Schizosaccharomyces pombe: one gene and its partner. The protein of the gene in region 1 binds, or shares a complex with, the protein of each later gene. Each region holds a gene or a part of one and is shown on either strand. Other genes may lie near its edges. The genes, in order: atg38 and atg14.

Region 1 (4,238 bases):
ACCTTTTGGGATGCCCTTACTCGAAGAATCGATGCCAGTGTTTTGGATGTTATTTGCCGTGATACCAAAGACCGATCAGGATCACACGTGAATCGAATTTATGTTCCTAAAGCCGAACAAGAGATGTATGAATACTATGTTCGCGCTGCTAAGGAAAGGCCTTACTTGAATTTACAGGTCGAATATCTGCCGGAAGAGATTACTCCAGAATGGGTGAGAGATGTAAATGATAAGCCAGGGTTACTTGCACTTGCAATGGAAAAATACCAAGATGATGAAGGCAATACACATCTTCGAGGTGTGCCATTTGTCGTTCCTGGTGGCCGGTTTAATGAACTGTACGGCTGGGACTCTTACTTTGAATCACTGGGTTTGCTTGTTGACGATCGGGTTGACTTGGCGAAAGGTATGGTGGAGAATTTTATTTTTGAAATTACCTATTACGGTAAGATCTTGAATGCCAACCGCACTTATTATCTTCTTCGCTCCCAGCCTCCATTTTTGACCGATATGGCCCTTCGAGTTTATGAACGTATAAAAAACGAAGAAGGATCTTTAGACTTTTTGCATCGGGCCTTTTCTGCGACTATAAAAGAATATCACACTGTTTGGACTGCCACTCCACGACTGGATCCCAAAACTGGTCTTTCCCGCTATCGCCCTGGAGGACTCGGTATTCCTCCGGAAACTGAAGCTTCTCATTTTGAGCATTTGCTTCGTCCTTACATGGAGAAGTATCATATGACTCTTGAGGAGTTTACTCATGCATACAATTACCAACAAATTCATGAACCCGCGTTGGATGAGTATTTCGTGCACGACCGCGCAGTTCGCGAAAGCGGGCATGATACTACTTATCGGTTGGAAAAAGTTTGTGCTGACTTGGCCACCGTGGATCTGAACTCGTTGCTATACAAATATGAAACCGACATCTCACATGTGATTTTAGAATATTTCGATGACAAGTTTGTACTTCCAAACGGAACTATAGAAACTTCTGCCATTTGGGATCGTCGTGCTCGTGCTCGTCGTGCTGCAATGGAAAAGTATCTTTGGTCAGAAGCTGATTCGATGTGGTATGATTACAACACGAAGTTAGAAACGAAGAGTACTTATGAAAGTGCTACTGCTTTCTGGGCCTTGTGGGCCGGTGTGGCAACTCCCCGTCAAGCCGCAAAATTTGTTGATGTTAGTCTTCCCAAGTTTGAAGTTGCTGGAGGTATAGTTGCTGGTACAAAGAGAAGCTTGGGTAAAGTGGGTCTTGATAATCCCAGCCGTCAATGGGATTATCCTAATGGCTGGAGCCCTCAGCAGATTTTAGCTTGGTATGGATTGATTCGATACGGATATGAAGAGGAGACTCGTAGACTTGTATATCGTTGGCTATATACTATTACTAAATCGTTTGTTGATTTTAATGGTATTGTTGTTGAAAAATATGATTTGACCAGACCAGTTGATCCACATCGTGTTGAAGCTGAGTATGGTAATCAGGGTGTCAATATCAAAGGCGTTGCTCGCGAAGGTTTTGGATGGGTTAATGCCAGTTACGAAGTCGGCCTTACATTCTGTAATTCGCATATGCGTCGGGCTCTTGGTGCTTGTACGACTCCTGATGTTTTCTTTGCCGGCATCAAGGAAGAATCTCTTCCTGCTTTCGAAAACCTTTCCATTCATAAAAATTAAGTTATCGTTTGCTTGAAAAAAATAATCGACTTTGTCTACTTTTTTAGTTGCCTTTAGCTTTATTCTCTTATTATGTTATTTTGGTTATCGACCGGTTAAAACCCATTGTTATGTTACATGTTATACCTTCCATTAAATCCTTCTACTATGAAGGTTCTATTTGGCGAATATTCCCTTACGAAACAATAGTTAATTCTATTTAAATTTATGAGTAAAGCTTATCACCAGCGATATTATTACTTTTTTACTTAAAAGAAAGAAGTAGTAAATGAATTTTTTACCTTACGATTCAATTCTAATTTATAATTTCCATGATAGTACTGTTGTTGCAGTTTTAGTCCGAATATAACTCTAATGTTTAATTTGGTGTCTATCACTTTATTAGTTTTTTTTTTGAAGGAATTGTCTTCTAGAAACTTATTTTGAGTTAATGTACCGTATTATGTCGTTCACATTTGTAGACAACATAAGTTGGCCACTTCCTTACACAACAACAGTATATTATTAAAATGTGTTATGGTTCGATATTCATTAAGAAAGGTAAGAGATGCTTAAAGAGATAAGGATATGAGTAAATTTAGTGTTTGAAGTTCGTAATTATCGTTCGCTTTTGAATGTGAATGTTAACAAAATTAGGCGCATGAATACGCCCGAGATGGGGAAAATCAGGAAGTTTTGGGAGAAATTTCACAAGCAATTATGTATTATGGATTAGCAAAAAGTCAGTTTGAAAAGATATGTCAGAACACAGCTCAGCCTCTTATTAAAAGATGCGCAAATAACCAAATCGAAGAGTTGATGGTTCGTATACGCGAGTTACGAGAATCATTGCCAAACAAACAAACACCAATATCAATGTCAATGTCTACGAGATTATCACCTATGTATACTTCTTCATTAACTCCACGATTTACGTCCAATTCAATGGTTTTACCAGGTGATCATAATACTACTGTTCGACTAAAACCAAGCTTTCGTGAAGCTTTAATGGAAGATTCTGAGGACGATTTATATCAAATGTATTCTAAATTCGAAATGCAGGTTAAAAAGCTGTCAACCAACTATGGACTTGCAGTTGCTTTTTCCATCGTTCCCATGGATGATGATCAGCCATCACCAAGCATATTTAGCTCCGATGAGAGTTTTTTGATCGTAGAAGGTGATGATTTTTCTCTTGGTAACAGCGTTGAAGAAGATGCCAATGCAACAAGCAAAGAAGATCCTGCCTATCAGAATACGAACGAGCAGATTCAACCGCTATCGAATTTCGATATAAGTCAACAAGAATATTTAAATAATACAAGGATTCCATATGAAAACGAGGATTTACATTTACAACACATTACTCAAGGAACTACAGATGATAACAATGTATCCAAGTTTCTTATTCCTTCATACAATGATGCTAAGGAATTATCTGAAGAGGAGATGGGAAGAAGTCATAAAAGGGAAGAATCATTTAAAAGAGCATTTGGTCACGCATCAAGTAGCGAAAGTAGTATTGGAGAGATTACGGATTCTAGGGAGGATATTCAGTCAAACCGTCTTGTTAACGGCTCTTGGGAAAATAATGATTTTACTAAGGAAATAAACAATAACTTCCCTGATAGATCTGAAACGCCAACGCTCCAAACAATTGAAGCTCCGACCAAACTCATGAAATATACCAGACGCAAAAGTCTGTTTCGGTTTCCATTTTTTCGTTCAATATCTGGAAAGAAAAAAGAGGAGCCTATGGAGTCCGGAACTGATTCACTTGAATCATCTACGGCACAGATTACGGTCGATTCTCAATTGAAAATCAAACAGCTTGAAACACAAATCGCAACTTTACAAAAGCAACTGGAGCAATTTCAAACCAGTACTCTCGATCAAGATCTTCACTAAATGTCATTACTCGATTTACTTATTAATTCTTTAAAGAAACGGCAACTGATCGAAAATCAGTTTTCAAAGCAATACATTATGTTGTCTCTGCAAAATTCTGTATGTTTCGTTAAATTGTGCCTTAGTTTTCCTTTTGAAGAGAAATGCATGGGGAGGCAAAATTACGATGACATGGTCTGTGGCGAGCCATCCTTAATGGAATCAATACTTATTTTGGCTTAGATATGTTCTCTGCGCATACCATTATATTTGGGATTTTACTTTCTCTTTTTACCACCTGAAGTTCTGAAATAAATTTTTACGTGCTTCTATAACTGAATTCGACTACGAAAACTAGGATGAGGATGGATGGCTCTGATTTTGAAGATCGAAAAGTTAGTAAACCGAGCCCGGTATTACCTTTTGATGTTAGCAACATTGGTGATTTGAGTCAAGGGGTACACTCACCGTTGGGTATTTCGCATTTCGATTCCAAAAATCCAACGCCATTTGGCAGATCAACAAAAAATTCTGTTTATGAGTATGAAACAGTTACGCCATATTCAAGATTTAAAGTTGATAAGAAATTTGGATCAGCGACTTCGGTATCTCCAGTTCACACCAAAGCTGAAGAACCTGGTCTTGGTTTAACTCCGATGAATAGTGCGGATTTCTCTAACAAAATA
Region 2 (4,276 bases), on another chromosome or scaffold:
TCAGCCTCTAAAAGTAAATACTTGTTCTGAGTCAGGTAATCAATATTTGTTATGTGACTTTAACAGGGATGGAGATTCGTACCGCTCACCATGGAGCAATAAATATGATCCTCCTTTGGAGGATGGTTTAGTTTCTACTGATCGAGTTCGTAAATTAGAAGTTTCTTTGAATGAAGCAATCCGTGTCTATCTTGATCTTTATTACGAGGGCGGTGTTAGTAGCGTTTATCTTTGGGACCAAGACGATAGTTACGCAGGCGCCGTTCTCATAAAAAAGGGTATTTTTATTTTCTGTCAATTTCATTATATAATTCTAACTTCATTTAGCTTCTACTTCTAACTCAAGCGGATGGGATTCTATTCACGTGTTTGAATGTCTGCCTACCACGGAAACCAACGTTTATGATTACCGACTTACAAGTACTATTATCCTTTTCCTTTCATCTGGCTCGGAGGAACAGTCTGCCTTGCCTTCCAAAGCTCTTAACCTTTCAGGTCATTTGACTCGCCAAACTTCTCAACGATTACCAGCGGCAGATGATGACACTGAGATCGCTAATGTTGGCAAATTGGTTGAGGAAATGGAAACTCGGATGCGCAACTTCCTCCAGGATGTCTACTTTGGAAAAACTAAAGATATCATCAACCAGACTCGTTCCATTCAACCCGTTTCCGATGCCCAACCAAATGATTCGGCTTTGCGTTCAGTTTTAAACGATCTTTCCATTTAGGATTGCTTTTTGTTTTCTTTCCGTGATCTTCTCATAGTATTCGTTCCATCTTCAACGAAAATAGTCATAGAAAGATTGACTAATATAAATAAATACACCGATAATCTAATTTTTTTACAACAGTTTTAAAAGAAATTATTGAATTTAATTGTTCAGTAAAAAAGTTTATATAAATAGCATTAAAAAATATACGTTAAGAGACTTTATAAGAAAGCTGTTAATCGAAGATCATGTAAAAAAGGTCATGAAATAAGCTGATATGGTTTAGACGAGGAACGTGATCGAAGAGAGGAGTAATTTATTGGAATTGGAAGACGCGCCAGGTATAATCGGTGAAAAAGGTCAAAATCCATACCCATCTTGTAATGCCAATCTGGCTTTTGAGAAGTTAGCGGCTTGGTACGTAGCTGAACTAACCAGAAACCAGTATACTGCATTAACTCAAAAAGCTGGGATTGGGTAATTCCACGGGGAAACGAAAAAATGCCACAGTTCCATGAAATCCAAACTATGTTATACATTATATACAACATTTGTTCCGATGAAAATGAAGTCATGGGTTTTTGATCAGGCGAAGGGAGTTGAAGCGGGCATGGTAAGGGAATACTGGTATACTGAGCTAAAAATATACAAATAAAGGATAAAGTTAAAGCACAATCAGGATTTAAAAACATTTTCTCTTTACTTCTGATACATACAGGAATGCCAGAAATAGTCACAGAGGCATTTAACTCCATCACCTGAGAAAAAAAGTTGCTATAAAAATGTCCTGTTTCATTGTCACTATGAGATAAGTCGGATTTCGAATTGCCCATTGATAATTTTGAAAGTCTATACGCAAGAGATGAATCTATGGAGTCAGGGTTAAACTCTGATCCCATTTGAGCAGATTTTTGAGTGCAACCCTGAGTGTTAAGCACTAAATCCCTTTGCCAGTGAAGTTGATACATATCCAAAACCCTTGTTATCAGCTTCTTTTGATACTCATGCAATTTATTTTGAAGTAGCTCAGAACGGCGATAAGCTGTAAGGTATTCCTTAGAGAAATAGTCACTCGTTGAATGTGATAAGCCAGCTAACTTTTGACTCGCGATATTAATTGATTTTTTGCGATTAGACAAGTCATCTTCTATAAGCTGTTTGCGGGAATGCAAGTCACACGATAACGATTTCTTTTCGTTTAGAGAGGCAGCAAGGTTCTGTAGTCGATAAGTTAATTCCTCTTTTTGGGTAATCTTTCCTTTTAGAGAGAAACTTTCTGATTTCAATTTAGCAACCTTTTCAAGCTCTGACTCAATATCTCGAGAGAATTCATCACGTTTATGATAAAAATCATAAAGCTGCTTTTTTAAACAGCTTTCGCAAATAGAAGGACGTCTTGTTTCGCATAATTGGCATTTATTGACATGCAGCATACAAACACACCTTCAGTTTAGATCCAACAATGCCTTCAAGTGGTACGCAAATTTCAATTATAGCACAGCAATAAGAAAACTTAAAAACCCAGCAGGATATTAATTTCCTACTACGTTAACTGTCAACTTGTATACAATATAGGTGTTGTTAAAATAATGAAGCAAAAACAAAGAAGAAAAAGGGAAAAAAAATAAACAGCGCAGGTTTTTAAACAATTATTCTTAGAAACGAAGGGCCTCCTAACGGACAAATTCAAAAATATTAATTTAAAAGTGAAACTGCATTCCTGGCTGTTCTTGCAGAATTGAACAACCAATGCGATATTTTTGACAGAAAAAACGACAAATATTAAGAAAAAATTATATTATACGAATTCAATGCAATGAGTAGATGGACTTCTATTTCTTCAAATCCCCGAAGTAGCTACTTAGCAGTTGATGTTCGTATTGATTACTACAATCGTATGCAAATAGTTACTTTATAAAGCGTTTAAAAATATTTCCTTAAAGTAGCCTGTTACTCGACACTCAAATTTTTGCTAAATAACTTTGAGTGATGAGCAAGGTGTTTTACAAAACTATTTTATCTAAATAAATAGGTTAATAAAATATTAACTAAATAATATAATCCTAGAACCCAAACCATCCTCTTTTAACATTAGCTTTTGCAGTATCACCTAGAAAACATAACGTGGTACGCTGCCATAATATAACGAAACACTATTTGTTGTCATATTTCTTAAGGTTCAGTGACAAAAGATCTCTAGTATCTGCAGTTATGTTTAATGATTTTATTAAAACTATAAAAGAATAAAGACAATTTCGCCACGGTATCTTTTGCTAAATGTTTAGTAATATAAAGAGCAAGTTGCCATCATGATATAGCTTTACCATAAACTACGTTACAACGTTTAAGGCATTATTTAGCATCAGTATTTGGGACCACTACCACCATATCACGCCCCCGTGCCACATCAAGAACAAACTACCAGCATAGTGTGCTCTTGAATTATACCGAATAATTCCATAATACAAAAGAAGGTATTGGGTGACTGGAGTCTTTTTCTTTAACAATCCGATTCATTGAGTGTTATTATTTTAATTTTGGTAATTTTCTTTTTCTTTTTTTAAACAAAGATTGTTTTTGGATAGCCAAAGTATAAGTCGTTTTTGGTGATCTTTAATTGCGAGTATTTGTTTATTGCTAGAGCTTACCAAGTTTGCTTCATCTTAAACATCAGGAAAATTTTAAATTTATATTTTAAAATTTTTTTGTCTACTTTTCATTTACATTTTATTTTTCTTCATTAAATTCTGCATATCATCTCGAAACAACGCTTATGTATTAGAAGAAGGTGGTCTATCCTAATTAACTCATACACATCTCGTAACTAAAGGAATTGTTTCTTGTTTTAGAAATTGCAATAAGTTTTGGCCCTCAAAATTTTTTGTAATCTGCTGTTCCCATATTAAGTTTTCAACTATTTGAGTTACCAAGAAACGCGTGAAACAAGAAATCTGTATTGTTTTGTCGTTATTTCTTCCATTTTAATTAATCTTAGGAGAATTTAAAAAGTTTCAATCTTTTTGCATCTATTCTCGGCGCTCTTAATTCGTGTGATAAAATTATTCATAATATACACGTGACCTTACATATTTTTTCTCCAAATCCTATATTTTAGATTCAATTTTCTTTTGCCATTTGCTTGGATACATTGATTGTTACTTAATTATGGATGGAAAAAGAAAAATAGAGCATACCGCTGATGGCACGCATTACGACGCGACTTCCAACGTGAAGCGCAAGCCAATTTTCCCCCCTTTCATTGCTGATTCGCTTTCAGAAGCTACCGAAAAAGCTAATGTTATGGGGGGTGGTATGAATTCGCGACTTCAGATTCTTTCAGAGATGTCTAAACGAGTTCAGGCTACTGCACCCATTTCAAGTTTAGAACATTTCAAGCAGTTGAGTGATATTTCTCCCTCATTTACTTCCTCTGCTAACTCCATAAATCAACCATATAATTATTCCGGTTCGTTAGAAAATCTTGTTCCTACACCTTCTGCTGGCACTCCTTCGCAATTTATGGATGCCCAAAATCCATACGGCGCTGTTTACAATGCTTTATC

What was found.
Region 2: atg38 (region 1) and atg14 share a complex: the UniProt entries of both Schizosaccharomyces pombe proteins name them as parts of the autophagy-specific vps34 PI3-kinase complex.

What each region holds. Positions count from the first base shown.
Region 1 is NC_003423.3:207,600-211,837, forward strand, and holds atg38 (protein Atg38), read left to right. Parts: upstream 1-2,159; 5' UTR 2,160-2,202; coding exon 2,203-2,226; exon of another isoform or gene 2,227-2,322; coding exon 2,323-3,573; downstream 3,574-4,238. Other genes in the region: alpha,alpha-trehalase Ntp1, read left to right, coding at 1-1,686; protein mug168, read left to right, coding at 3,912-4,238. UniProt on the Schizosaccharomyces pombe protein: Functions as a part of the autophagy-specific VPS34 PI3-kinase complex I that plays a role in autophagosome assembly. This complex is essential to recruit the atg8-phosphatidylinositol conjugate and the atg12-atg5 conjugate to the pre-autophagosomal structure.
Region 2 is NC_003424.3:2,100,652-2,104,927, reverse strand, and holds atg14 (protein Atg14), read right to left. Parts: upstream 2,600-4,276; 5' UTR 2,147-2,599; coding exon 974-2,146; 3' UTR 825-973; downstream 1-824. Other genes in the region: F-actin-capping protein beta subunit acp2, read left to right, coding at 1-278, 328-731; protein Fft3, read left to right, coding at 3,879-4,276. UniProt on the Schizosaccharomyces pombe protein: Functions as a part of the autophagy-specific VPS34 PI3-kinase complex I that plays a role in autophagosome assembly. This complex is essential to recruit the atg8-phosphatidylinositol conjugate and the atg12-atg5 conjugate to the pre-autophagosomal structure.